Pelodiscus sinensis: one gene and its partners. The protein of the gene in region 1 purifies or fractionates together with the protein of each later gene. This does not show direct contact. Links are inferred from orthologs where the notes say so. Each region holds a gene or a part of one and is shown in the gene's direction. Other genes may lie near its edges.

Evidence for each region.
Region 2: the proteins of WWP2 (region 1) and CPSF6 purify together in Homo sapiens (affinity purification with mass spectrometry; 3 studies listed by BioGRID and IntAct, counting the BioPlex papers as one, with this or other methods). This does not show direct contact. The link is inferred for Pelodiscus sinensis from reciprocal best matches to the Homo sapiens genes WWP2 and CPSF6.
Region 3: the proteins of WWP2 (region 1) and POLR2D purify together in Homo sapiens (affinity purification with mass spectrometry; 3 studies listed by BioGRID and IntAct, with this or other methods). This does not show direct contact. The link is inferred for Pelodiscus sinensis from reciprocal best matches to the Homo sapiens genes WWP2 and POLR2D.
Region 4: the proteins of WWP2 (region 1) and GPN1 purify together in Homo sapiens (affinity purification with mass spectrometry; 3 studies listed by BioGRID and IntAct, with this or other methods). This does not show direct contact. The link is inferred for Pelodiscus sinensis from reciprocal best matches to the Homo sapiens genes WWP2 and GPN1.

What each region holds. Positions count from the first base shown.
Region 1 is NC_134722.1:1,626,635-1,634,614, reverse strand, and holds the start of WWP2 (NEDD4-like E3 ubiquitin-protein ligase WWP2), read left to right. Parts: upstream 1-4,979; 5' UTR 4,980-5,071; coding exon 5,072-5,107; intron 5,108-7,980. Other genes in the region: RNA-binding protein NOB1, read right to left, coding at 288-506, 677-817, 1,252-1,323, 2,466-2,599, 3,510-3,642, 4,857-4,958. UniProt on the Homo sapiens protein: E3 ubiquitin-protein ligase which accepts ubiquitin from an E2 ubiquitin-conjugating enzyme in the form of a thioester and then directly transfers the ubiquitin to targeted substrates.
Region 2 is NC_134711.1:63,706,835-63,714,329, forward strand, and holds the start of CPSF6 (cleavage and polyadenylation specificity factor subunit 6), read left to right. Parts: upstream 1-4,495; 5' UTR 4,496-4,592; coding exon 4,593-4,652; intron 4,653-7,495. UniProt on the Homo sapiens protein: Component of the cleavage factor Im (CFIm) complex that functions as an activator of the pre-mRNA 3'-end cleavage and polyadenylation processing required for the maturation of pre-mRNA into functional mRNAs.
Region 3 is NC_134720.1:5,692,355-5,699,281, reverse strand, and holds the start of POLR2D (DNA-directed RNA polymerase II subunit RPB4), read left to right. Parts: upstream 1-3,916; 5' UTR 3,917-4,125; coding exon 4,126-4,198; intron 4,199-5,703; coding exon 5,704-5,884; intron 5,885-6,607; coding exon 6,608-6,703; intron 6,704-6,927. UniProt on the Homo sapiens protein: Core component of RNA polymerase II (Pol II), a DNA-dependent RNA polymerase which synthesizes mRNA precursors and many functional non-coding RNAs using the four ribonucleoside triphosphates as substrates.
Region 4 is NW_027465901.1:118,048-124,912, reverse strand, and holds the start of GPN1 (GPN-loop GTPase 1), read left to right. Parts: upstream 1-3,864; 5' UTR 3,865-3,977; coding exon 3,978-4,064; intron 4,065-4,183; coding exon 4,184-4,277; intron 4,278-6,865. UniProt on the Homo sapiens protein: Small GTPase required for proper nuclear import of RNA polymerase II (RNAPII). May act at an RNAP assembly step prior to nuclear import.

The sequences.
Region 1 (7,980 bases):
CCTGCAGGGAGGCGAGCCCCTCGGTTCGCCCCTTTTCTGTCGTACAGGGCCGCTGGTGCACACCCCTCTGCCGTTCCTCTACGTGCTGGGGACGCCAGGTTAACAACTGCCCCTTGGTTCCTGCCTGGTCTCTCTTTGAGCCAGTTTCAGACCAAGGCGCTTTGCTTCTCATGCTGCGATCGCGTCTGGGAGACTTGGCTGGTGTGGACGTGCTCAATGATGTCCTGCCCTGTGCTTTGGCCCCCGTCCCTCTAGGGCAGAACTACAGTCCCCCAGCCCTTCCTTACCTGCATGGCAAAGTCTGTGGTCACGCAGCCGACCTGCACGTTGGCAGGAGCATCGCAATGCCCCATCCCCTGCTGGATCCGTTTGATGTTGTCGGGCGTTATCCAGCCTTCTCCGTCGTCGCTGTCCCCGTCACTTCCCTCCTCCCCAGCGCTCTCCTGATCCATCCCAGGCGGCAATGTCGCTGGGACCTCGGGGCTCAGGGAAACGGTGTGAGCTTTCTGCAGGGCGAGAGATGCTGTCAGAGGCGTCCCATGCAGCACGCAGGCAGGAGAGGGGAGTGCCGCCCGAGGAGGGGGCGCCAACCGAACATCCGCGAGCCAGGGAGAGAATCCAGCTGAAACGAGCTGGGGAAAGACAAGGGAATTCAAGAGCCCCGACTGCCTCTCACCAGAAGCTCCTGCAGGTCCTCTTCGATGCTGGGCAGAGGGTTCCTCCAGTACAGGAAGGCCCCGAACTCGGGGCTGTCCTCTGCTGCCCGCGGGCGGCTTGCCGAGGTGGACACGCACGCATCCGCCTCCAGGCGCTGGGACTGGGGGAGAATAAATACAACAAAGTTACTAGACTGCTGGGACATCCCCAGAGCCTGGGGCTGCCGCTGCCTCCTTGGTGCCCAGGCCTGACTGCTTGATCCTAGACAGGCAGTGGGGACAGAGGATTAACGTGCAGAACGATGGGACACTCCCAAGGAGCCGGGAGGCCCTGGAAGAGAAGCGAGAGCATGAAGGGAGGAGGCCAGCACAGGCAACCCTGTAACCGTTCGCAGGGCCAGGTTCTGCGAGCTCCACTCCTGTCCTGACACTGCCTGTGATGAAACACCCCCTGCCTCAGTTTCCCGGGATACAACGCTCTCAGGCAACCTCACCGGAAATGAGCCTTTGTGGGCGTGGAAGGCTCTTTTCCCCCTGCTAGCACCTTCCCCTGGAGGACCCCCAGAGGGTTATCCCGGCGCATGCAAACAGGTACCTTGGATGGCAGGTGGAACCCAGCGATATTCACAGGCGCCTCTGGATGCCGGATGGTGGAGCTCAGCTGAACCTGCGGGGGATTAAGAGCAGCAATGGGGTTAGCAGGCAAAGCAGAACTCCAGACCCGGACCGGCCTGGGCTAGTTCCCAGGCCAGAACACCGGGACGGCCTGGGGCATCTCTCCAGAACCCCTCCAGCCATGGAGCTGAGTTGACTGGACTGGCTTTCCAAACCGAGTGGAAGATGCTGAACAGCTGGCGGATGATTACACTTCAACTCATGGCTAAAACAGGCCCCCCAAGCATGGTTCAGTCCCCAGGATCTCACCCTACATGCTTACTTTGCGGGGGAACTGGTTTCCTAAGCTGGGCCACATCCAGGTGAGGGGAGTGCATGGGGCTTGCGCTGCCTTTATGCCTCCCCGGCTCTGGGGATGGAGCGGTTCCCAGCAGAAATCAAATCCCACAGGGCCACCAGAGTTAGGGCAGCCAGGGAGGCTGCCCAGCAGGTGGCAATGCTGCTCAGAGTCCTTGCAAGGTCACAGCTCTGCCCCTAACATCCTTCCCCCCTCAGCACTATTGCTGAGTGTTGGAGGCAGAGGGGCGTGACCCGCTGGCTGGGAACGCAGCCTTACAGCGGGGTTCTGCAGCACCTGCACTAAAGAATCTGCGCTGGGCCAAACGTGGGGCTTTAGAACCCTTTTATGTTGCAGATTTCACCCATGAGGTGTTCGTAAGAAGTGACAGACCCTACCTTGCAGTCACACACATTTACCTAGTGTATTGACTGACAGCTGTTTACACGCATCACGCAGTATTGTACTTTCTGTGCTGTGCATTTTAGAGAGACTGGATTTATTTTGAGGGGGGAACGGGGCGAGGTGACTACGGCCGTGCAGCTGTACAATTCTTTTAACGCAAGTGTTTCAGAGCTAATGTTTTACCTACATTCTTTATTGCAGCCAGATGCTTCTTTTCAATTATTTGTTTTTCAAATTTCTCGGCTACCCAGAAGTGCTTTTTGGAGACCAGACAAAGGGTCATGTGACATGGCACCAAGTCACAAAAATAGATTCAGCCCAAATTTTACACCAAGAATTGGAATTAAGCTCCTCCCCCCCAGCATTGTACCTCCCCACGAAACGTGTGACCCGCCCATTCATCCACCCAGCACCATGGCAGAAGCCTGGATGCGTCACTCAAGGGAGTTTACCTTTTTTTCTGGTTCTGTCTTCAGATGAGCCACTCCAACGGTCTCTGCCTCCAGCTGGTAGGTCAGGGCTAGCACCTGGAGATCTGTGGCTGACAGGCTGGGGTAGTCGCCTGTCTTTTTTGAGAATTCTGTCACTGTAACAAAGTGAGTGTGTGGTCACAGGGGGGAGTCCTGCCTGAGTCCGACGGTTCGCAGACACACGGCTCTTAGGGAGGCCTCCTAGAAATATATGAATACAGCGGGGGGACTCGGGGTACCTAAATAGGCTGTTCTTTTCTTTGAACACTCCCGTCTATTGAGAATTCTTCCCCAAACCCTCAATTCCTAAGGGCATTTTCTCTTTAAATCTCTTCCTCAGGTCTTTTCTTCTGGTCCATGGCTAGCTGTACGTAAAGGGGGGGGAGGGGTGCTGCTCTCTTAAAGAGCGCAGAATCCAGAGGTAGTGTCACTTTCTCTTGACTAATGACAGTAAGGTTAAGAGGTAGGTTTTAGTAGCAATGGGATAAGCAGATCAAAGATTCATTCCCCAAAAACAGTTTTACTTGAACGCTATCCTCCTCTCCGTGAACTTTCCCCCCAGAAATCACAGCCTTGTCCTATGTCCCAAGAACTAGGAAGCAAACCTGATTAGAAGCCAAAGTAAAAACTATTGCGCTAAGCTAGGGAGCAAATTCATAGCACTAATGGTGAGAGCACGTTTGATACTTACAATCATAGAACCATAGAGCTGGAAGAGACCTCAGAAGGTCATCAAGTCCAGCCCCCTGCTCTAGGCAGGACCAATCCCAACTAAATCAACCCAGCCAGGGCTTTGTCAAGCCGACACAATGGTTTGTTTCTCTCGCAGGAGCAGGAGCTAAATAAAGGAATGGGACTTTCACCTTGACCTGTGCTTCATAGAATCCAGAGTAGACAAACTACAACGAGCACAGCTGTTGTGAGTAAAGCCGTGCGAGTACCGGCCCTGGCAGGAAGGCCACTGGAGTTGGCTGTGGGCAGCTGCCGTAGTGCTCTGCCAGGTGCCCATGAGGCCAGCTCACTTACCTAGTTTAACATACTCAGGGAAGGGCTGTTTGAAGTGAAGCTCATAGGGCAGCACGGCCAGTCGCCTCCTGGTCTCCTTGTCCCGGATTTCACTCACCACCTCCTTAATTGTGTAAACGTTTCTGCCGAAGTCCTGGTGTATGAGAAACACAAGAATTTCTGCTACTGGGAACTAAAAGACAAATGACCAAGACCAGAAAGGACCTGGGGATGCCCAGTTCCGTAGCCAGCCTGGTGTGATCCAAAAGCAGCTCCATACACAACGCCCATCACCGTGGAGCCAGACACTGAGACAAGAGCACTCATAACAACACCCTCCCACCATCCAGCTGGGAAAGGGGCTCCCAGGGCAGACAAAAACCTGGCTTCCCTGCTCTACAGTTATTAGTGGGGTCACTGGATGACTTAGGCAAGATAAGGCCGTTCTGGAGAAGCTAAATGAATTATTTGCATCAGCCTTTGCTGCAGAGAACATGAGGCAGATTCTCACACTTGAGCTATTATTTGTAGGTGATAAGTCAGAGGAATTGTTCCAGATTGACGTGCTGATAGAAAAGAAGTTCTGAGATAAATTCAGCAGTAACTAGGGCCAGATAGTATGAAATATGAACATTTCTCTAAAATATGCAATTACAAAGCTATTTTCTATGGCATGTAACCTACTGCTCAAATCAGCTTCTGGAACAGGTCACTAGAGAACAATTATCATGATGCCCATTTTAAAAGAAGGCGCCACAGGAAATCCCGGCAATCGCTGGTCGCTAACTCTGACTTCCGCACCAGGCGAACTGGTTGAAACTATAATAAAAAAAAAACCAAAATGCTCAGACCCCTCGCGGAACAGGATTTGTTGGGAAGGGCCAGCAGGGCTTTTGCAAAGGGCACTCGGCCCTCAACCCGCCTGAATTACTGAGGAACTATTCAAATTCTTTGATTTTTCAACCAACACGTGGACAAAAGGTGACGGGGGGGGGGGGGAGAGGCCCTTTCCCGGCCAAGGCCCCCCGAAGCAGCTGCCCTGGGAGGAGAGAGAAGGGCCCTTCGCGTGTCGGTTCGTGGGGGGGGGGGGGGGGAGCAGCCACGGGCGAAGAGTCCCTGAGGGCTCGGGCGACTGGCGGGGGGGGGGCAGTCACATGACGCCTGGCAGGTCTGCGGCTGCGCCCCCCCAGCTCCGCCCCTCGCGAGCGACGTGACTCAGGGTCGGGGGGTGCCGCAGCCAGTTGCAGGACCCCCCCTTTCTCCGGGCGCCGCTGGTGAGGGCGGGGGGCCCCCCCCGCCCTGGGGCTGCCCGAGGGCCGGGGCCCGCGGAACTCCCTGCCGCAGGGTCCCCGCCCCCCCCCGCTCTACCTGCAGCGGCGCCCCGCGCAGAAAGGCCCCCGCGTCCGCCACGACGTGCTCCACCGCCGCCATCTTGGCGCACGCACAGCCCGGGGCGAGCTCGCGATGCATTCTGGGAGCGGCAGTATGCGGCGGTCGCGGGGCACGCCGGGAGTTCCCCCTCCCCCCCGTGACGCGCTTCCGGGCCGCGAGTCAGGTGGCGAGCCGGCGTCACGTGATCGCGAATGCCGGAGCCGGAAGTGGAGGCGAAGCCGTCGCCGGTAAATGCAGAGGGGTCGGGGGGGGGCTCGGCATCTCCCCCCCCCCCCGCGTGTGTCCTGGGCCGGGCCCGTAACGCGGCTCGAGGCTCCCCCGGGCCCTGCGCCGCCTCCCCACGGCCCCCCCCCCGCCGAGACCCGGTCCCGGGGCGCCCCCCCCCCCGCCGAGACCCGGTCCCGGCCCCCCCCCCCCCCCCCCGCCGGGCCCCGCGCAGCAGCGGGGCCGCTCCCGGGGGCCTGGGGCCGGAAACGCGTCGGACCCGCGGGCGAGTCCGGGCCGGGCGGGGGGGGGGGTCTCGCCGCTTCCTTAGTCCGCCAAGAGCCTCCGTCCTCTGCTCCCCCGGGCCGCGGGGGGGTCCTGTCCGTGGGCTGGTTCATCCTGGGCTCCGTGGGGCCGGGCCAGTGGGGGATCCGGCATCGTCCCCTTTCCAGCCCGGGGCTGCGTCTAGACCTGTCTGCACGGGCCGCTTGAACCCGGACTCTCGTGTGAGAAATCAGCGCCTCTGGCGGGGATACTGCGCTGCTCCCTTCGGGTACAGTCCTTTAGCAGAAGGGCCCGTGCAGACCGCTCAGAGCAGTCTGTGTCTTTTTAATCTTTCCTTGTGTGGAAACCACGCCGTAGCCTCCAACGTCTGTGTCCCTCCCTGCTAACCGTGTCCACTTCCACTGTGTCCTTTCTGAGCTGGGGTGACTAGAACTGGGTGCAGGATTCAAGGTCTGCGTGGACTGGAGGTTTATATCCTAGTGATCTGTTCACACACACAAAGGGGTGGAGCTTTACAGCTTGTTAGGACAACTCCACCAAGAGAGCAGCTGCGCTTACGGAAGAAATTCCTAGTACTGGAGCTTGGTTGCAAATCCGCTTCCTCCCGCTTGTGAACGTGGTGAGGGGCCCTCTTGTGTCAGGGCCCCAGCGCCTGTGAATTGTTTTGTGATCTGTTCCTCCAAATTGGTGACGTGTGTTACTATTGGAGTCACCCCTTGTGCTTTAGATTCTGTGTAGTAAAGTCACGTGCAGTTTAGATTCATCTTAAAGACCCACACGCTCAGGGCTGGAACCAAAAATCAAAAATCCACCTGGGTGCTTATCCCCTGTTGGATCGAAAACTTTCCGGGTAGCCACAGCTTTTGTGCAGCCCTTAGGAGTGCAAAGACCTTTTATAAGCTCAGAGTCTGAGCTGCCTTCCTGAATCTGCGGCTAGCTCTGTGTAGTTCTCCCTCCCCTGTGGCTGGGGGGGGTGCAGTGGAGCAGCAGATATTCTTGTGTGCACATTGCACCAGCTCAATGGCTATTGGGTTGTGGGGGGAGAGGGCAGAAAGCAGGAGACCATCCCCCCTGGAAGCTGGCCAGTGTTTCAAGGGCATGTGCCACTTCCTTTACTTCATGCCAGAAACTGATCTGAAAGACTCCCTGAGGCACAGCATCCCACAAGTAGCCAGGTGCTATGAGGTGGGTGAGCCTGCATGTTTGCCCCTAGTGGGTGGGGTGGCTGGGCAGTGTTTCCAGCTCTGTGGGCTCGTCTACACTGGCCCCTTTTCCGGAAGGGGCATGTTAATTTCACCTATCGTAGTAGGGAAAGCCGCAGGGGATTTAAATATCCCCCGCGGCATTTAAATAAAAATGTCCGCCGCTTTTTTCTGGCTTTTAAAAAAGCCGGAAAAGAGCGTCTACACTGGCCCCGATCCTCCGGAAAAAGCGCCCTTTTCCGGAGGCTCTTATTCCTACTTCAAAGGAATAAGAGCCTCCGGAAAGGGTGCTTTTTCCGGAGGATCGGGGCCAGTGTAGATGCTCTTTTCTGGCTTTTTTAAAAGCCGGAAAAGCCGGAAAAAAGGGGTGGACATTTTTATTTAAATGCTGCGGGGGATATTTAAATCCCCCGCAGCTTTCCCTACTACTTTCCCTCCTACTACAGGTGAAATTAACATGCCCCTTCTGGAAAAGGGGCCAGTGTAGATGTAGCCTGTGTGTGTAGTGGGCAGGGCAGGGCCTGTGTATTCTGTGGCATTGGGTGCAGGTCCTGTCCCAGGATTTTGCACCAGTCTGGCTCCAGTTTTCTCCCTAGCCCCCTCCCGCTGTGAAAGCAAGGCCGGCTGCTGCCGCCTTGGCAGGACAGTTCATCAGTAGCCTTGAGAAGTGCAAACTGCCCCATTTGTCTCACGGTTCGTTTACATCTACCAATGGTACTTTGACATTTAGCTCCTTGGCGGCAGCAGGAACGTGCACGTTCCAGCATCGCTCATGCGCTCCTGCCTACGTGTTCACTGCCACAAGCCTGGCTGCAAATGCAGTGGGGGCATACAAGCCTTTGGTTATTTCCTCAGCTCCATCAGTCCAGAGCATGCAGGGAAGAGAGGGGTTGGGCAGAGCTGGCTTGCTCCTACGGGGCTAGAGGCCTTCCTGTGTGACTGGGTTAGTCACGCATCAGCTGTTAAAGCAGCCCACAGCCCCTGTCAGTGTAAAGGGGCTTTCTAGCCACAGAAGGATCCTGCAGGGTGGGGGTGGAGCTGTGAGTGTCTGGGGTGGATAGATGCCATGTGCCTGTGGCCTGCTATTGTCACCTGCTGTGTAATTCAAATTAATGGAGGTTGTCTATCTCCTAGAGCTGGAAGGGACCTTGAAAGGTCATCAAGTTGAGTCTAGTCCCCTGGCTTCACAGCAGGACCAAATACCATCCCTGACAAATTTTTGCCCCCAACTGGGCTCCGCAAGGATTGAACTCACAACTCTGGGTTTAGCAGGCCAATGCTCAAACCACTGAGCTATCCCTCCCCCCATGCAGGTCCTCGTCCTCTTCCTCTTCCTCCTCCTTCTCCTAACTGCTGGGAGCAGCTGCTGAGAGCGCCTGGGCCGTGGCATGCAGGCGGCCTGCTAAGGA
Region 2 (7,495 bases), on another chromosome or scaffold:
GCCTTGTATCTATTTAATTGCACATCCCAAACTTGAAATGAAATTAATGAAAGTTGCAATGTGCAAGGAATGGAGGATGGCTGTCCTCAAAAAATAAGATTTACATTGCAATCAAGGGCTTGTCTACACAGGAATGTCATACAGGTATAAGCTAAGTGCTAAGGTGTGAATTTAAACTGAGATAGTTATACCAATATAACTCCCCATGTTGATGCTTAGTGCATCTTACTTTGGAAGGTGTTTAAGATACCCCTCCCTCAATCACTCGAATAAGAGTGCCTTATGGAAGGGATAATGGTATAACTCAATGAATTTAAATATTCCAGTACAGTAAAAAAATCTTCATGGTGTCTACTAAAGAAAAAACAGACTACTACAGGAAATTAATAGATGAGCTTGAATAATGTGTAGAGTCTTTCACATTAAGTAAGTTTACAATATGAACTTTCAACATAACATTACTTATACAAGAATCAAAACAAGTATTACACATACCATATATCTATTATAAACGGTAAGCCTACTCTCTGAACAATTTTGAGAGGTTTACCAGATTACAAAGAGATAGGATGTCTCTGGAATATAAAAACACAGCACAAAGGGCACTGAGAGCCTTATTAAACCATCTTCCTTATGGCATAGGCCAAAGGAAGGGAGATCACTTTTCCTGATTCTTCAAAGACCCACTTTAGGGCTCTCCAATTTCTACAGAGGCACCTGTCAATCAGAAGCATGCAGATCCTCATAAGTATTTAGGTGCCTGTCTGTCTCTTTAGGAGCCTTCATCCACTGTTTAGGCACCACTAATATTTTCAAAATCCTTGTTTAGCTGCTGCCTAACCCCATATGCATCTCAGTCTCATAGGAGCCTAAGTTTCTGTCAGTTGGCATTTGCTAAGCAACCGAAGTTTTGACACCACCCCACAGCTAATGAGCAGCTCTGACGATTAGTTTACACTGAAGCCCAGGAGGCCCCTAGGCAGGATTCTCAAACTAGCCAGAGGATTGCGTATTTGCCAGCAAGACCTGATCCCACAGGCACTCTCTGGGGTAGCCTAAGACTTGATGCCTGTCAAGTCCCACAGCAGGAGGGCTGCAGTCTACCTTTAGGTGTCAGAGACAGCACAGCAGTCACATAAAAGGCTAAGTTGGGAGCACAGGGAAATGGGACAAATCATGAAAGAAATACTGAACAGCAGACTGAGAAAGGGATGGTTTTGGCTACTAGGGCAAGAACCACCTAATTGGCTGACTTGGCTTATGTGTCTAACTCCAGCAGAGGGTCTCTGGCTGAGGAGCCTGAGTGGAGGGAAGTGCCTATTTCTGGCCCATCAGCCACAAGTACCCAGGTAACCTGGCTAGGAGCATATATACGTCTCCTCTCTCCACCTCTTTTCTCAGAATTTCACCTCTGACTAGTTTAGGCTGTTCCCCAATGCCCCCCTCCCTTTAGCTTGGTGATTTCTCAGGCTTTCTTTCCTAGACACCTTGCTTTCCCCAATAGTTGAATGAGGAGCCTGAGTGCCCAATTTGGGGCTGAGGATTCCACTAGATAGCAAACTACCTCAGAGTTAAGCACTGCAATGGTGTGCAGAATTATCTGGGCCATGTTCCTAAAGAGAGCAGAATGGCATTCCCATTCACATTTATTTCCATGCTCTTCTAGTCAAATATCATTAAAATCAACACTTAAAATGCCAAAATGTATCTAAAACTCTGCTAAATGTAATCCCAGCATCTGTGATGATTTGCTTGTCAATTTATTAGCACAGGAACTGGTGTATTTTCTATAGTTCTGCACTCTCTCCAGTTTGGCCTGATGGAAAAAAAGGTTAAAAAGAGTTGAAGTGCTGCACCTATGTCTTTGTATGAAATATCAGGTATTAGATCTGCTTTTCATCAAACAAAAATAAATTACTTCACTGCATTTGAATCGTAATACTTCAGGAACTTCTTAAAATATAATGTCATGGCAAATCCTTCACTTTCCCCCTGCTACTTGGTCAAAATATATTTTAAGATGAGAAAATTTGACTGCAACACTTCTGAGTAATTTTATTCAATAATGTTTCCATCCTCTAAATTTACTTAGGATCCCATTGAGCATGTTTTTAGGTCTCTATTTGTCTTTATCTATCTGTAAACTCATATCAATCAATTTTTTTTCCAGGTAAAGTTGTGAGCTCTTGGATGGGGTAGACCTTCTGGAAGTTCCTGTAAACAGGAAACTCTGGTATAGTTTAGAATGTATTTGAAATATTTTAGCTGTTCCACTTAATATAAGAATTCTACAAGACAGATAGCAACTCTAGAAATGAGGCTCTAGCCAACAATGACTTTACAACTGCTTGAGGAATATTAACGAGTTTTCAGTAAGAGGTAAAAAGGGAAAAAAGGACTCCTTTTTTTGAATATGCAGCATAGTATACATTTGTATTTGCATAATATACATATGTTGCATATACAATGCATACCTAATGAGCCACCATTTCTTTCAGAAGAGGCTCTTGCGCAAGAAGGAGCGTCTACACTGCCCCTTCTTGTGCAAGAAAAACCCTCTTGCGCAATGCCATTACACCTATTACTTTTCAGGAAGAACGGCATTGCGCAAGAGGGTTTTTCTTGCGCAAGAAGGGGCAATGTGGACGCTCCTTCTTGCGCAAGAGCCTCTTCTGAAAAAAATGGTGGCTCATTAGGTATGCAAATGAGGGTCGGCAATATTCCACGCTTAGTCTCATTTGCATATTACTCGTGCAAGAAGCCGCAAGTGTAGATATAGCCTAAGGGTGGTATGGAGAAAGAGAATAGGGAAATGTTATTTAGCCCTTCACATAACTCAAGAACTAACGGTCACCTTATGAAATAAGCAGTAGAAACTCATTGCCAGGGAATGTTCTTCTTCAAGTGATTGCTCATGTCAATTCATAGAATGGACTGTAGGCCTTTCACTTTAGGAGAATGCAGGGTCCAGAATGCCTGGGAGTTAGCAGGGATCCTGGCACTGCAGCAGTGAGCAACCTATTCCCAGCCCATTCTGGTTCCTGTCCCTCCCCTCCGCCCCCCCCATCTGTTCCATTCCCTCTTGCAAACCTCCGCCTTGCCTCTTTCTGTCTTCTGTCTTCTTCCTTGAGTGTCGTAGAGTGGCAAGGGTCACTTTCAGCTGCTAGTGCCAGGCCCCCTGCAGGCCCATATGCAGAAATAACTGTGAGGTGTGCTTTTTTTGTAAATGTGGACCACAAAGGTGTGAACGCACTCCCTATTGTCCCACAAGTAAGCGTGGAAATCAGCCTCAGCCTTCCCCTGGCTGGCCAGAGTATGCTTACTTGGGGGACTGCACCCTTCACCCCCCTCCCTCATGTATGGGCCTGCCCTGGTAGCCTCCAAGGCTATGTCTACACTGGTGGGTTCTTGCACAAGAACATCTTGCGCAAGGGTTCTTGTGTAAGAAGTCTTGCACAAGAACACGTCCATACTGCCATGTGCGAGATGTGCTTTTGCACAAAAGCATCCATGGCAGTGTGAATACTCTCTTGCACAAGAAAGCTGATGGCCATTTTAGCCATAGGGCTTTCTTGCGCAAGGTATCCTTGCCGTGCGTCCACACTGCCCTCCTGCGCAAGAGCTCCTGTGCAAGAGGGCCTACACCTGTTAGAAAAGAGTGTAGCTCTTGTGCAAGAAGTGCTCTCGTACCACGCTGTACTTTAAATCTTCTTCCGCAAGAGCGGGCGGGCAGTGTGGATGGTCTGCGGATTCTTGTGCAAGAAAGGACATTAATAATTGCATTTTAACTTCCTTAGTATGGTGTGTGGGGGCAGTGTGCGAAGCCCCCTGGCTGCCCCTGCGCATCAGAGCCAGAGGGGAGACATGCTGTTACTCCCGAGAGCCATGTGGAGCCACAGCATGCAAAGAGCAGGGCAAGCCCTTGCCTCTGATCTCTGGCTAGAACTCAGGGCTGGTGCCCTAGTCTGCCCTATGGATGGAATGGCTCTGAAAAACATAGGCCCAAACACTGGTGGAACTGGCCCCTGGTCCTGAACGCTGATGAACCATGGATTCATATAAATCACCACTTATTTAGACAGTGCATGGTCCTGCCATGAGGGCAGGGGACTGGACTCGATGACCTCGAGATCCCTTCCAGCTCTATGATTGTGACGAGCTCGATCCATGCTGTGGAGCCGAGGCACCCCTCCAGCCCATGGGGTGCCAAGCTGGGGCCGGCGAGTGCTGCTGAATGGACACATCCTCCTTTAATGGGGCCCCAGTCGCACCCCCCAACGAGCGGGGGAGCCTGGCCAAAGAGCAACCCCGCTGCGGGGGGGGGGGGGACACCTACTCCCTGGCCTGCGGCGCTGAGAAGCTGCCAGCAGCGGGAGGGGCGGCAGCCTGTGTGAGACCCCCGCCCGGGGCGGGCTCAGGCGCACTGGGTGGGCTAGAGCAGCAGCCGGGGGAGAGGATTCGGCACCGAGCGGGTGCAGCAAACGGAAGTTCCCTTCTCCTCCAGGAAGTGACGTCGGCTTCCCCCTCCCCGGCGGCGGCGGCTCTAGTCCCGGGCGCGGCGGGCAGCGGAGGCCCGAGGAGCGGGCGGCATCATGGCGGACGGCGTGGACCACATAGACATCTACGCCGATGTGGGCGAGGAGTTCAGCCAGGTACGCGCGGGGGGGCGGGCGCGGGGCCGCGCGGGGGGGAGGAGGCGGCGCTGCCGCCGCCATTGTTGGGGCAGGCGCCCGGGCGCGGGTTTCCCGCGGAGCACTAGGCCGCTGGTGCAGGCCGCATGCGCGGGGCCCGGCAGCTGGGGGCCCGGCGGGCGGGGGTTGCGCCGCTCGCTCCGACGGGGGCAACACGACTCGGCCCGGAGAGCGGGAGCGGCCTGTGGCAGACCCGCAGCCCGGCGGCCCGATCCTCGTAGCGCTGCCCGCCTCTGCCTGGTGGGGGTGGCTGCGAGGGAGAGACTGTGACGCGCCGAGCAGCACCCGTCTCCGCATAACGCTGAGGTGCTGTAGCACACACCCAGCAACTCCCCCCCCATCTCCAGAGCCCCCTGAAGAGACAGTATTGCACAACCAGTATTTTGTCCCATTTCTGTATCTCCTGAGAGATTATACACAAAGCAACTCTTCCATATCCCTGAGGAGAGCGTGAAGTGACTAACACACTGGAGCAGGATGAACAATATACACCCTGCGGGCCAAGTCCAGCTTAACCAGTTAACTGGTTAAAGGCTGAGACCGGGTGGGGGGGAGGAGTGGTCCTCCCTCCTCTGCCACAGTCTAGGGCGGCACCAGCATCCTCTTGTTTTGTCATCCAGCAGCCACCAGTGGTATGTATCTCCCGACCAGGAACAAAGCCTGCACCTCGCATCCCTTTCTGCACCCCAATACCCTACCTCAGGTCAGAACCTGATCCTGGACCAAAGCTCCCTTCCAGACCCTGCAACTCCTCTTGCACCCCAACCCTTGCTCCAGCTCAAAATCCTGCATGCAAACTAGCGATGTCAGATATCAGGTAATTGAATAGTTGTGTAATTGCATAAAATCTTAATGATTACACAACTATTCGATAGTCCCCAGGGGTGGGGCTGGCAGCCAGTGTGCTCCCAGCCCCATTCCTGGGATGCCCCCTGCAACTCTGCACTACTGCTTCTGTATCAGAGGTGGCTGGGGGAGCTGGTCTGCAAGGAGAGCCAGCTTAAAAACCAGCCCCCCGCGCAGAACAGCTACCTGCCTCTCCATTACTTCTGATACAGAGGTAGCAGCACGGGTTGGAAGCAGCCCTTGTCCATAGGGGGTCCAAGCTCCTCACGGACAGAGACTGCTTTGTGGCTGCCTCTCCCCCCGCTGCCACTGATAGAGGCAACAGCGTGAGGGGGAAGGCAGCACTGTGCTGGGGTGAACTGCCTTTTAATCTGGCTCCCCCCAGGACCAGCTCCTGTCATCCCTCTCCCCCCACTCTTGCTGCCTCTAACAAAGAGGCAGCAATGAGGGTGGGTGGAAATGCATGTAGTCAACAAGATTAACTAATATGCCTAGGCTAATTGGTTAATCATATAGGTGACTACATGTTGACATCCGTAGCTTGTAATCAGCATGCACATCAATTCATATGCTGTTACTTTATGTGTATGTCACTTTAGTAATACTGCTACAGAACACACACAACCAACCCTCCCACCCCCGCCACCAATGGAAACCAGTGGAATCTGACAACCCTGTATGTGGGCAACAGGAAACAAAATGTCTAGCGGGCCACTTATAGAACTCCAGTGGGCTGTATGTGACCGTCATATTGCCCACCACTGCTGAAGAGTATAACACCCAGAGCATGGCCCTGTTTGAGAATAGAGGCTGTGACAGACGGCAAAACCCCGACCAACTCACAACCTGAGGAGACACACACCACTAACTCCCATCTGTGTATCCCCGGAGAACGATGGACACACAAAGAGCAACTCCAGAGAGACACTAACACACAGGAAAATATCTCGCATCTCTATATTGGAAATCACCTTATCCCTTGAAATTCTATAAAACACATGAATCCTACCAGCATCTAAGAGAGTTAGAGATCAGGGATGTGTAAAGATAACTGGCTGACTGATAAGCGTCACACTAAATGGGTAATGCTTACTTCCAGTTAACTATAGGGACTGGAGGATGGGCAGCGGGCTGCTCCATCCTTGTGGGGCCCACCACAGGCAGGGGCTGCTCTGGATGACTGGAGCAACCCCTGTCCATGGCGGGCCCAGCCCACTGCCACATGCTGACTCCCTGGACCCAGGTTACATGCTGATTCCCTGGACCAACCCCTGTGGCAGGGAAGCCTCTTCCCCAGGAGTGGCACCAGCAGCTCTTGCCAACTCTGCTCCCGGGGAAGTGGCTTTGCTTGGGGAGAAGGCTTTATTTAAAGTTTATACTGCAGAGCCTGCTGTGTGTGTAACTAAGATTTTTCAGACTTTAAAAAATTTCATCTTTTTTAACCGACTTTATATCCTTGTTAGCAGGGCTTGACAAACGGCGGTGAAAACTGCTTGCCAGCCCCGTACTGCGCATGTGCAAGAGCCGCATTGCGCATGCGCACGCCACGAATGAACAGGGCTCGTGGCTGAAATCTATTTGCCACGGGCAAGTAGATTGTATGGTTTGTCGAGCCCTGCCTAATTTAGATTCTGTAACACATGCATGAAAATCCTCAGTCTGCAGATAGAGAAAGAAACCAGGGAGCAAGCACAATTTCTTGCCCTGTGCAAGGTCATCTAGTAGGAGAAATTAATATGTGGCAAATTTATCATCCAGAGGGAAGAGAACTGTAAAAATATGCGCTGCATTTTCTTGCAGAATGCAAAAATGAATAACTAAATACTAAGAGAGAAACCAATGGGTCTCCTGAAGGTGAGAGTTGATCCAGTCTTGAGACACTTGGGGCATATACTTTAACAACTGCTTTTGCCTGTTTATGGAGACACATCTCCTTTTTTCCTGTATTGCATACAGCC
Region 3 (6,927 bases), on another chromosome or scaffold:
GAACTGGCGTCCAGATTCAGCTGCTGCTGAAACTGACCGCCAGTTCTGACTTACATACAGATTCAATTTAAGAACCCCAAGCTTCCCCAAGTCAGCTGCTGCTGAAACTGATCAGCACCTGATTCCAGGAAGCCTGGGGCAGAGCAACTCTGCCTCGGGCTTCCTGTAGTCAGCGCTGGTCAGCTTCAGCAGCGGCTGACTTGGGGACGCCTGGGGCAGAGCAGCTGGGGTGCTGCTGGGTTGCTCCAGTAGCACCGCTCCTTGGCGCTACTGGACCAACCCAGCAGCACCCCAGCTGCTCTGCCCCAGGCGTCCTGATTCAGCCACTGCTGAAACTGACCAGCAGCGGCTGAATCAGGACCTGGGGCAGAGCAGCTAGGGTGCTGCCGGGTTGGTCCAGTAGTGCCCAGAAGGCGCTGCAGGACCAAATGGCAGCCCCAGCTGCTCTGCTCCAGGGTCCAAAACAAAAGCCTGGTCTGCTGGGGGGGGGCACACTAGCCGCGCCCCCTCCTCTCCTCAGCAGACCAGGGATACAGGAGCAGAGCCGCAGCGGCAGCGGGGTGCCGCGCCTCTGAGGCTTTCCTCTGGCAAAGCCTCAGAGGCGCGGGACCCCCCCGCGGCTGCGGCTTCAGTCCCGGTGCCTGTGGTCTGCTGGGGACGGTCCCCAGCAGACCACAGGCAGGGGACTGAAGCGGCAGCAGCGGCGGTTCCCCGTGCTTCTGAGACTTTGCTTTGGCTTTGCTCCGGTGCCCCTGGTCTGCTGGAGACCGTCTCCAGCAGACCAGCGGCACCGGGCGGGTTCCCATGCTTCTGAGGCTTTGCCAGAGCAAAGCCTCAGAAGCGCGGGAACCCGCCGCTGCTGCCGCTTCAGTCGCGGTGCCTGTGGTCTGCTGAGGACGGTCCCCTGCAGACCACAGACAGGGGACTGAAGCGGCAGCAGCGGGCGGGTTCCCCCGCTTCTGAGGCTTTGCCAAAGCAAAGTCTCAGAAGCGCGGGGAACCGCAGCTGCTGCCGCTTCAGTCCCCTGCCTGTGGTCTGCTGGGGACCGTCCTCAGCAGACCACAGGCACCGCGACTGAAGCGGCAGCAGCGGCGGGTTCCCGCGCTTCTGAGGCTTTGCCAGAGCAAAGCCTCAGAAGCGTGGGAACCCGCCCGGTGCCGCTGGTCTGCTGGAGACGGTCTCCAGCAGACCAGGGGCACCGGAGCAGCTTACGAACGGGGATTTCTCGCCCCGGAGCTCGCAGGTAGCAATCCGCTACCTCGACCTCCGGGGCGAGAAAGCCCCGTTCGTAAGTGCGGATCCGACGTAAGTCGGATCCGCGTAAGTCGGAGACTGCCTGTAGTGTTAAATGAGGAATTATTCTACTAAAAAGTCTTCAAATCACAAGCTACATACATCCATAAACAGATGCCTGAGGTACATCCTTCACATCAAATGGCAAGACTTTGTCACAAATGAGGAGCTTTGGAACAGAGCAGGACAAGAACCACTTGATGTTCAAATGAAGAGAAGAAAGTGGGGATGGCTAGGCCACACTCTCAGAAAACCATCACCCTGCATAGTCAGTTAAACTCTCACATGGAACCCCCAAGGAAAATGCAAAAGAGGAAAACCTCAGACAACATGGAGAATATCTACTGAGATTGAAGGACAACTCGGGTACTCCTGGAGTCAGCTAGAAGTTTTGTCTCAAGACAGAATGAAGTTGGAGAGTTAATATCATACATGGAAATATACCTCTCTCAGAGCTGGAAGGGACCTTCACAGCAGGACCAAGTACCATCCCTGACAGATTTGCCCCAGATCCCTAAATGGCCCCATCAAGGATTGAACTCACAACCTTGGCCAATGCTCAAGCCACTAAGTTGTCCCTACATAGGTCATAGATAACCTATGCTCCACTTGGAGTGCAAGGGTTTAAGAAGAAGAGGACAAAACAATCTTTAATTCATGGAGACTGCAAGACAATTTGGAGTATTAGCAACCATAGGACAGGCAGCATCTTAGATCAACTTCCAGAGACTATCTCTGACAGATCCCTTATGCCCCCTTCCTCCAGCCTTGAACCCACCACCCTATGTTTCCACAGGCAAATGCGCTAGCCCCTCAGCCACAGCAGAATTCACTCCATTGCCTGCTTGCCGCTGGGTCCCTTATGTGTAAAGACATACACATGAGGCTGTAAGAGCATCTATCAATATAGCCAACAATACCTACACACTATGTCCAGCTCTGACATAACGGGAAATAGTCTGAAATAGTGGTAGATACCAAATGTTGCTACAACTGCATCATCTCAATAATCTTACTCTGGAAAAGACATATAGAAATGGGCAATAGATAGTTAGATAATCAACAAGGTCCTGAGCACTGGCCACACCCAAGGCCGGACTGAGGCATGGGCGAGCCGGGCAACTGCCCAGGGCGCCAACCGATGAGGGGCGCCTGATGGCAGCTGCAAGGGGCGTGTGGCGTCCCTTATAGCTGCCATCAGGCGCTGCGCGCCCGGCTCCCGTAGTGCTGGCCCCGCGGCGCTGGCCTGCAGCGCTCTTCCCCCCACGGCCGTGGGGCCCTGCATGGCCTGGAGCGCGTGCCAGCAGCGCTGGCCAGGCTGGGCTGGGCAGCGCATGTACTGTGCGCCCCGGGGGCAGGCCCCGGGCTGCACGCCAGTGGCCGTGGCCGGCCCACGAATGCACCGTGTGCCCTGTGGGCGGGCCCGTGCTCCCTTGATAGCCAGGCCTGTGCCCCACAGGCGGGCCCACGCATGCACCATGTGCCTGTGGCAGCACTGCATGCCTGGGGCACCAAAAGGGCTTGGGCCGGCCCTGGCCACACCTGCATATATCAGAATAACTGAACGCATTTCCTCTCATTGTGGTCAAAAGTAGGCTGTTAAGAGTCTGTGGCGGCTTTTACCAACCAAGAAAGATGGTGAGTCTTTTTTCCCAGCAGATGCATTGCAAGAGTGTTTCCTATGCAACAGTGTTGGGAAAAGTAGTGGGTAATTTGCTTTTTGGAGAGGTTCTTTGGTTCCTTCCCTTATTTCTGCCATACAGGATGTAAGTGATTGCAGAAGCAGCCGTTGGGTCAGGTGGATCTGTGTCTGAGTCACTTTATTTCTTGTATGGAGCACTGGTAGGGTGTGTCCATACAGCAAAATTATTTTGGAATAACAGCGAGCGTCTACACACAGTTCTATTATTTCAACATAATGGACGGCTTATTCCGATATCTGTAAACTCATTCTATGAAGAATAATGCCAATCCGCAATGGCTATTTCAGAATGAGGCGTGTGCAGATGCTCCACTTCTGCTATTTGGAAACGGCCCGTCCCCAGGGCCATGCTCCTCTTGGGGCTGCAAACCGAGAAGGCACGTCTACCCCTGCGTCAGGCTCATTCTGAGGCTACCCGGCAGCGCAGAGGTGGGCTACGTCTACACTGGCATGATTTTCCGGAAATGCTTTCAACGGAAAAGTTTTCCGTTAAAAGCATTTTTGGAAAAGCGCGTCTTGATTGGCAGGACGCTTTTCCGCAAAAAAGCCCCGATCGCCATTTTCGCGATCGGGGCTTTTTTTGCGGAAACCAAATCTCTGCTGTTTACACTGGCGCTTTGGCGCAAAAGTTTTTGGAAAAAGACTTTTGCCCGAACGGGAGCAGCATAGTATTGCCGCAAAAGCACTGACCAGCTACATGAGATCGTCCGTGCTTTTGCGGAAAGTCAAGCGGCCAGTGTAGACAGCTGGCAAGTTTTTCCGCCAAAAAGCAGCTGATTTTGCAGAAAAACTTGCCAGTCTAGACACAGCCGTGGTGTTTCGGGCCAGGCTATTCCCGACTAGCTGCGCGCGTGGAGGCGGCCCTAGGGGCAGTCAGGAGAAGGCTCTGGCTGAGGGAGGAGCCTGGTCCCTGGGGGAAAGCTCGCAGGGGGCTGGTCCCCACCGGGCTTTTCCCTGCCGCGCCCGACAGCTGAGGGAGCGGGCCTGGCGCTAGGCCGCAGCGCGCGCAGCAGACGCCCGCCCCCTGGCGGGAGCTGGGGAAGTCTGGGCCCGGCCGCCGCGCGGCGGGAGGAGCGCGAGGGCTCCCGGCAGCCCCCGCTCGCCAGGGGAAGCCGCTGCCGGCTGAGGCGATGGCGGCCGGAGGCGGCGAGGCGCGCGCCGCGGACGTGGAGGAGGACGCCTCGCAGCTCGTCTTCCCCAAAGGTGCGCGGGGCTCGATCCGCGGGGGACACGCCCGGGAGCTGGGGGCGGACGGGCGGGGAAGATTCCCCCTGCGGGGCGGGGAGGAAGCGTGGCCCGCCCCGGCCCCTGGTGCTGGCGTTGAACCGGGCCGCCCAGTCCCATTTCCCAGCTCTGGGTCGCTGCCAGTCCCCACAGGCAGGGGCGCTGCGAAGAGAACGAGCCGTGGCAGCCCGCGCTGCCCGAGCGCTAAGCCGCCCGGTTCCAGCCGGACTAGCCCCGCGCGGATCGTTCTTGAAATAGCGTCTCGCAAGGCTTTTCAGTGCGTCAAAGGGGCACGATTGCGGCTGAAGCGCCCCCTTGCCGGGAACCTCTACTAGGTGCTGTGCAAATACAGGACAAAAAGACAGTCCCTGTCGCAGGGTTGTATGTAAAACACTCCGAGCTGTATCAGGCTGTCACAGTTCAGTGATCTCTGGGATTGATCTGAAGAACTCTAGTTTTTCTGATCGATGATCCTTGGCACACAGGTATTGCTGCCCGTGAGACTATTTTACAATTATTGACTGGAAACCAACTATTGAAGCATTGAAAGCGGGATTACCAATTGCCAGTAAATTCTGTTGCAAATATTCTGAATGACTCTGAAAAATAGTGTACATATCAATATAATTCAAAATAGTAATATTTAAATAGCTATATTTGTTCCTTCAAGGTGTCCCCAAAATGGGAAAAATGGGCTTATACTCTGCTATGATGTAAATGGAAACCAGAAATATGTGCAGTCTAGTTGCTTTTTTGCACCAGAAATTCATACCCCATCTAGTCTCATAAACACACTTGAAGTCAAACAAATTAATGAAATGGTTAAAAAGCAAGAGCTGAGAAAGAAGTTTATCTACGAGAGGGAAAATGATCTATAGTCAGACTGTTTCAAACTTGTTTTTTGTTATTGCCTGTTTAATTTCAACAACTAAATTAACATTTCTGATAATGAAAGCCTTTGTTAAATATTCAGGATCCTTTAATTAAGGTGCTAGCAGTAAACATCCCTCAAAACTGCAAGAAGCTCTCTAGCAAAACCACAGAAAACCACTCTTGCCATTCCTGATTTAACTAAGTTAAAAAAGAAGTAGTGTAAAAAAAAAAAAAGCCTTTGCAGTACTATCCTTTTAATATTTGTCTTTTATTTCAGACCTTTGTGTCTACTGAGTAATAATTCATTACAAAAATATGATTACCTCAAAAGATTGGGCTGGCAATTTAAATATGTATGATCAAAAAGTTAAAAATACCTGGAGTGCAACTCAGTATTGTAAACCTATTTGTCTGGCCTTGGAGGAATTATATTCTCATTAGTAATGGCTTCCAAGTTATGGAATACAGGATTTTCTGTCAAAGCTATGTCTCTGGCTCATTTTCCTTTCTCTGCAGCTATATCTGAGCATGAAACAAAGCATGTAAGAATTGGCTTCTTTGTTGGTGTCCTTATCTCCCCCTCACACTGATATTCACTTGCTCGTGTACAGAATTTGAAACTGCTGAGACGCTTCTAAATTCAGAAGTGCACATGCTTCTTGAGCATCGTAAACAACAGAACGAGAGTGCTGAGGATGAGCAGGAGCTCTCTGAAGTCTTCATGAAAACTCTGAACTACACGGCTCGCTTTAGCCGCTTCAAAAACCGAGAGACCATTGCCAGTGTCCGTAGGTGAGTGAGAGCGCCAAGGAAAGATGAGTTATTGTAGTGTATGTTCTATATTATGAAGTTGAAACATGTTAATTATTTCCAGGAACAGGGTTGTTCTAGAGATCTTAGTTGTATATTTCTGGGGGAGTGAGGGACTTAGTAAGATTCCATTAGAGCAGTGGTTCTCAAACACCTTTGCATTGGTGATCCCTTTCACACAGCAAGCTTCTGAGTGCTATTCCCCTTATACATTAAAACACATTTTAAAAATATATTTAATGCTACTATAAATGCGGGAGGCAAAACATGATTTTGGGGCTGGAGGCTGACAGCTCACACAATTCCATGTAAAAAACTTGTGACTTTTGAAGAATCATGACGTCCAGGTTGAGAGCACTTGTATTAGACTGGGTAATAAGAGGCCCCAGGCTGAGCCCCCAGAGCTCTTTTGGTATGATATGATAATATATGATAATAGGTTGTGGTAGATAAAAGGACTTTTCTAGCTTTTCTTTTTTGGAGGCTTGCTGGGGTTATCGTGTATGACTTTTTTTTCTTACTAGCAATAAGAGTTATATTCATAATAAAAATTACAACTTATATTGCTCTTTTTCTCATCTCCATTCCTTATTCACAGTTCTGTCAGGAGAATGTCAGCAGTTTAGTTTCTTTCACATTCTTTTCCTTTCTTCTTTTTTATTTATTCTGTTTTATCTCTACCCTTACCATTTTCTTTTTCTGTAGTTTGTTGCTCCAGAAAAAGCTCCATAAATTTGAATTGGCATGTTTGGCTAATCTGTGTCCCGAGACAGCTGAGGAGGCCAAGGCTTTGATTCCCAGGTGAGAATTTATGACTTTGGTTTTATGATTTATGGGTTCCAAGATGCAGGAATAAGTGGAAAACTGAGCTGATCTATTGTTTCCCATTTGTAGTCAGCATTTCATAGCCACTGTGGGATGGCCTACAAGGTACAATTCTGCATGATGTCAGTCAGATATCTTTGTTTACATCTGTTCCTGAGTATGGCACCCTTCTAATTTCATATCCTGAAACTGATCAGTAA
Region 4 (6,865 bases), on another chromosome or scaffold:
GGGCTACGTCTACACTACATTTTATAGTACCTCCTGATAGTCCAGCATATCCGATAATCTGGCACCACTTAGGTCCCAAAGGTTCCAGATTATTGGAAGTCTACGTACTTAAAAAATATTTTATTACCTTTTGAGTTTTTGTCTAGCTGTTCTTCAAACTCCTTTTTGGCTTTTCTTACTACATTTTTACACTTAATTTGGCAGTGTTTATGCTCCTTTTTATTAACCTCACTAGGGTTTGACTTCCACTTTTTAAAAGATGCCTTTTTATCTATTGCTGCTTCTTTTACATGGGGGAGGGATAGCTCAGAGGTTTGAGCATTGGCCTGCTAAACCCCAGGTTGTGAGTTTAATCCTTGCAGAGGCCATTTAGGGATTTGGGGCAAAAATTCATCAGGGATGGTACTTGGTCCTGTTGTGAAGGCAGGGGACTGGACTCAATGACCTTGCAAGTTCCCTTCTGGTTCTAGGAGATAGGCAATCTCCTTTATTATTATTATTTATTTTATTATTTTGTTAAGCCACAGTGGCTCCTTTTTAGTTCTTTTACTGTGTTTTTTTAATTTGGGGTGTACATTTAAGTTGGGCCTCTATTATGGTGTCTTTGAAAAGTGTCCATGCAGCTTGCAGGGATTTTACTTTAGTCACTGTACCTTTTAATTTCTGTTTAACTAACCACCCCATTTTTGCATAGTTTCCCTTTCTGAACTTAAATGCTACAGTCATGGGCTGCTGAAGTGTTCTTCCCACCACAGGAATGTTAAATGTTATTATATTATGGTCACTATTTCTGAGTGGTCCTGTTATAGTTACATCTTGGACTAGATCCTGTGCTCCATTCAGGACTAAATTGAGAATTGCCTCTCCCCTTGTGGGTTCCTGTACCAGCTGCTCCAAGAAGCAGTTGTTTCAGGTATCAAGAAATTTTGTCTCTGCAATTTGTCCTGAGGTGACATGTAATATGGGGATAATTGACAGTCAATAGGGGGATAATTGAAATCCCGCACTATTATTGAGTTCTTTATTTTGTTAGCCTCTCTAATCTCCCTTAGCATTTCATAGTCACTATCATTGTCCTGGTTAGGTGGTCAATAATAGATCTCTACTGTTATATTCTTATTAGAGCAGAGAATTACTATGCATAGAGATTCTATGGGACATGTTGATTCATTTAAGATTTTTACTTCATTTGATTCTAATTTTTTTTCACATATAGTGCCTCGTCCACCTCATCAACCTGATCCAGTGAGCTATAGCAGACACCAACCACAACATCACCCCTGTTGCTCCTACCTCTAAACTTAACCTATAGACTCTCAACAGACTTTTCTCCCTCTATATACTGGAGCTCTGAGCAGTTCTATTGCTCTCTTACATACAGTGCAACTCCTCCTCCTTTAGCCATGGGCTGGCTGCTCATCTTGATACCCTGTCTCTGAGCATGGTGGGGTTGGAAATAGAAGAGCATGCCTTGTCCTGGCCATAACATGGACCTGAGAGCATCACTGCTCAGTGTTGTGTCCATAGTTTCAGGAGCACAATCAAACAAGAAATAAGAGTAAATTATGGGATTGAACTGAGGGATTTCTGGGAATTCAACACCCACAGATTCAAAATTCCCTGGGAGGAATGAGGACCCCACAATCCATAGCAGAACTCCAGTCTTTACCAGACAGTGTGCCAGAAGGCGGCATGAGAGATGCAGGATGCCAGCCCATGGAGCCATGTATCTTTTGTGGATACAATCTGATGCCATGTACACCTTCTGCCCAAGGGTGAACACTATCTTCTGATACAGGGCATCCAAGACCTGCATTCATTGAAAAGGGCTGTTGCCTTGGGAGCAGCAGTAGTTGTCAGTGTGCCCCCAGGTGGTGCTAAGACGACCAGGAGAAAGGCTGTAGCACTGGGAGCAGAGGATTTGTCTGTGCCTGAAGGCAGTGCTAAGAGGACAGGGGAGAAAGGCTGTGGCACTAGGAGGTGGAGAGGGGTTGTCTGTGTCTGCAGGCAGTGCTAAGATTCTGGGGTGCTGGGCTGTGCAGATTGGGAGAGAAAAGCTAGATTGCCCTGGGGAGCTGCTGGCGGCGGCGAGGCGGGCAGTGGCTGAGCGCTGGTAGGCAGAGATGCGCTGGGCAGCGCAGGCTGTAAGGGGAGGCGCTGGGGGGCGGAGGGGTGTGGCCAGGCAGCGCTAGTACTGCCCAGCCCCCTGCCCGGCCACACCCCTCCGCCCCCCAGCACCTCCCCTCGCAGCCTGTACTGCCCAGCGTCCCGCCCTCTAGCGCTGCCTGGCCACGCCCCTCCGCCCCCCAGCACCTCCCCACGCAGCCTGTACTGCCCAGCGTCCCGCCCTCTAGCGCTGCCTGGCCACGCCCCTCCGCCCCCCAGCACCTCCCCTCGCAGCCTGTACTGCCCAGCGCCCCGCCCTCTAGCGCTGCCTGGCAACGCCCCTCTGCCTCCCAGCACCACCCCTCGCAGCCTGTACTGCCCAGCCCCCCGCCCTCTAGCGCTGCCTGGCCACGCCCCTCTGCCTCCCAGCACCTCCCCTCGCAGCCTGTACTGCCCAGTCCCCCTCCGCCCCCCCTCCGCCCTCAGGCTGCGAGGGGAGGTGCTGGGGGATAAGTGGGTGTGGCCGGGCAGGGGGCTGGGCAGTGCAGGCTGCGAGGGGAGGTGCTGGGGGGGCGGAGGGGCGTGGCCAGGCAGCGTTAGAGGGCGGGGCGCTGGGCAGTACAGGCTGCGAGGGGAGATGCTGGGGGGCGGAGGGGTGTGGCCGGGCAGGGGGCTGGGCAGTACAGGCTGCGAGGGGAGGTGCTGGGGGATAAGGGGGTGTGGCCGGGCAGGGGGCTGGGCAGTACAGGCTGCGAGGGGAGGTGCTGGGGGATAAGGGGGTGTGGCCGGGCAGGGGGCTGGGCAGTACAGGCTGCGAGGGGAGGTGCTGGGGGATAAGTGGGTGTGGCCGGGCAGGGGGCTGGGCAGTACAGGCTGCGAGGGGAGGTGCTGGGGGATAAGGGGGTGTGGCCGGGCAGGGGGCTGGGCAGTACAGGCTGCGAGGGGAGGTGCTGGGGGATAAGTGGGTGTGGCCGGGCAGGGGGCTGGGCAGTACAGGCTGCGAGGGGAGGTGCTGGGGGATAAGGGGGTGTGGCCGGGCAGGGGGCTGGGCAGTACAGGCTGCGAGGAGAGGTGCTGGGGGATAAGGGGGTGTGGCCGGGCAGGGGGCTGGGCAGTACAGGCTGCGAGGGGAGGTGCTGGGGGATAAGGGGGTGTGGCCGGGCAGGGGGCTGGGCAGTACAGGCTGCGAGGGGAGGTGCTGGGGGATAAGGGGGTGTGGCCGGGCAGGGGGCTGGGCAGTACAGGCTGCGAGGGGAGGTGCTGGGGGATAAGGGGGTGTGGCCGGGCAGGGGGCTGGGCAGTACAGGCTGCGAGGGGAGGTGCTGGGGGATAAGGGGGTGTGGCCGGGCAGGGGGCTGGGCAGTACAGGCTGCGAGGGGAGGTGCTGGGGGATAAGGGGGTGTGGCCGGGCAGGGGGCTGGGCAGTACAGGCTGCGAGGGGAGGTGCTGGGGGATAAGAGGGTGTGGCCGGGCAGGGGGCTGGGCAGTACAGGCTGCGAGGGGAGGTGCTGGGGGATAAGGGGGTGTGGCCGGGCAGGGGGCTGGGCAGTACAGGCTGCGAGGGGAGGTGCTGGGGGATAAGGGGGTGTGGCCGGGCAGGGGGCTCGGCAGTACAGGCTGCGAGGGGAGGTGCTGGGGGATAAGGGGGTGTGGCCGGGCAGGGGGCTGGGCAGTACAGGCTGCGAGGAGAGGTGCTGGAGGGGCGTGGCCAGGCAGCGCTAGAGGGCGGGGTGCTAGGCCGCCTGGGGGAACTGCTGTCGCGGGGTAGGAGCGCTGAACATCCGGGCCGAAGAGTAGCCTGGAGCGAGCCGTTTCCGCTTCCGGTCCCAAGCACCTTTCTGTGTGCCGGAAGCGGAAGGGACAGTAGCGAGATGGCGGCTGCAGCGGAGGAGGCGGCCCCACCGGTCTGCGTGCTGGTGCTGGGCATGGCGGGCTCCGGGAAAACCACCCTGGTGCAGGTGAGGAGATTCGCGCTCCGCGTGAGGCGGGGGCTCCGCTTTCCGGGGGTGGGGGGACGGGAAAAGTGTGTGTGTGGGGGGGTCACTCACGTCACGTCACATCGCCCTCTCCTCCGCAGAGGCTCACCGCCCATCTGCACAGCCAGGGGCGCCCGCCCTACGTCATCAACCTGGACCCTGCGGTGCACGAGCTTCCGTTTCCTGCCAACATCGGTGAGTCGCTCGCTCCGCCCTCGGGCGGGTCTCGCGCTTTTCCTCACGTGCAGTTCGCTGTCTTCTCAGCGCTCTGCGGTGTCTGTGCGTCTTCGTTCAGAGCCGGACGCCGCGCCCAGGCGTGCACAGCTGTGCAGGGCACCATAGGGATGCCCTAAGTTTAGTGGTGCACTGTGTTATGCATAGGGATGGGACGTTAGGCAGCTACAGGCAGCACTAGCTCTGGTGGCCCATCTTTTGGCCCACCACAGGTTGTAAAGTAAAGCCATTGTGGAGAAACTAAATGATTTCTTTGCTTCAGTCTTCATGGCTGAGGTTGGGGAGAGTCCCGAATCTGCACCGTCCTTTGTGGGTAATGAATCTGAGGAGCTGTCCCGGATTGAAGTGTTGTTAGAGGAGGTTTTGGAACAGATAGAAAAACTTTGTTAACAAATCTCCGGGACCGGACGGCATTCATTCAAGGGTCCTAAAAGAACTCAATAGCTCAGCAATTTCCCATTTATCTGTCGTTTGTAACCTATCCTTTAAACCGTCTTCCGTACCTAATGACTGGAAGGTAGCCAACGTGACACCAATATTTAAAAAGGGCTCTAGAGGCCATCCTGGCAATTACAGACCGGTAAGTCTAACTTCAGTACCGGGCAAATTAGTCGAAACAATAGTGAAGAATAAAATTGTGAAGCATGTAGAAGAACATAATTTGTTGGACAAAAGTCAACATGGTTTCTGTAAAGGGAAATCCTGTCTTACTAATCTGTTAGAGTTCTTTGAAGGGGTTAACAAACATGCAGACAAGGGTGATCCAGTAGATATAGTATACTTGGATTTTCAGAAAGCCTTTGACAAGGTCCCTCACCAAAGGCTCTTGTGTAAATTACATGGCCATGGGATAAGAGGGAAGGTCCTTTCTTGGATTGAGAACTGGTTAAAAGACAGGAAACAAAGGGTAGGAATAAATGGTAAATTTTCAGATTGGAAAGGGGTAACTAGTGGTGTCTCCCAAGGATCAGTCCTGGGACCAATCCTCTTCAACTTATTCATAAATGATCTGGAGAAAGGGGTAAGCAGTGAGGTAGTAAAGTTTGCGGATGATACAAAACTGTTTAGGATAGTCACGACAGAAGCAGACTGTGAGGGACTCCAAGAAGATCTCACCAAACTGAGTGATTGGGCAACAAAATGGCAAAAGAAATTCAATGTGGATAAGTGTAAAGTAATGCACATTGGGGAAAAATAACCCCAACTATATGTACAGTATGATGGGGGCTAATTTGGCTACGACAAATCAGGAAAGAGATCTTGGAGTTATCGTGGACAGTTCTCTGAAAACTTCCACACAGTGTGCAGTGGCGGTCAAAAAGGCAAATAGGATGCTAGGAATTATTAGGAAAGGGATAGAAAATAAGACCCAGAATATCTTACTGCCCCTGTATAAAACTATGGTACTCCCACATCTTTAATACTGCGTACAGATGTGGTCTCCTCACCTCAGAAAAGATATTTTGGCCTTGGAAAGGGTTCACAAAAGGGCAACTAAAATGATTAGGGGTTTGGAACAGGTCCCATATGAGGAGAGGTTAAAGCGACTGGGACTTTTCAGTTTAGAAAAGAGGAGACTGAGGGAGGGATATGATAGAAGTATATAAAATCATGAGTGGTATGGAGAGGGCCAATAAAGAAAAGTTATTTATTAGTTCCCTAAATAGAAGAACTAGAGGACACCAAATGAAATTAAATGGGTAGCAGGTTTAAAACTAATAAAAGAAAGTTCTTCTTCACACAGCGTGTAGTCAGCCTGTGCAGCTCCTTGCCAGAGGAGGCGGTGAAGGCTAGGACTATAATAGAGTTTAAAGAGAAGCTAGATAATTTCATGGAGGTTAGGTCCATAAAAGGCTATTAGCCAGGGGATAAAATGGTGTTGTTGGCCTGTGTTTGTCAGAGGCTGGAGAGGGATGGCAGGAGACAAATCGCTTGATAAATGTCTTCAGTCCACCCTCTCTGGGGCACCTGGTGCTGGCCACTGTCGGCAGACAGGATGCTGGGCTAGATGGACCTTTGGTCTGACCCAGTACGGCTGTTCTTATGTGCCCAGCCACTGGCACTGCTCACTGTTTCCTTCTGGTCAGCTCCCCCGCCCCCCCCCCCCCCCTCGTATCTTTCAGCTAGCTCACAGCTTTACAGGGCCATTCCTGGGATGTTGGGACAATACCCCTCCCCCAAGTTCCAGGCTCTTGCACCCTGCTTGCACCCTCCATCCCCCTATTCCTTTCCCCAGTGCCCCTCCCCCATACTCTTGAGTGCAGTGCTGCAGTGGGAGCCTGCAAAATAGAATGAGGTGAGGCCCTGTTGCACCACTGCTTTCCATCAGTGAGTGTGGGAGTAGGCCTGACCCCTATTGTCAGCACCAGCCCGTCTCTCTTCCGCCCCCCCCCCCCCCCCCCATCCTCTGGGTTGCCCTGGGGCCTGTGTTTCTGCATCTCTATGATGTTTGGGGCCTAGCACAGAGTAGTTGCTGGGATGGCTCCACCTGTCCCCCTTCCTGTTCCCCCACTAACCTCTCCCTTGTTCCTGTCCCCCACAACTCCTCT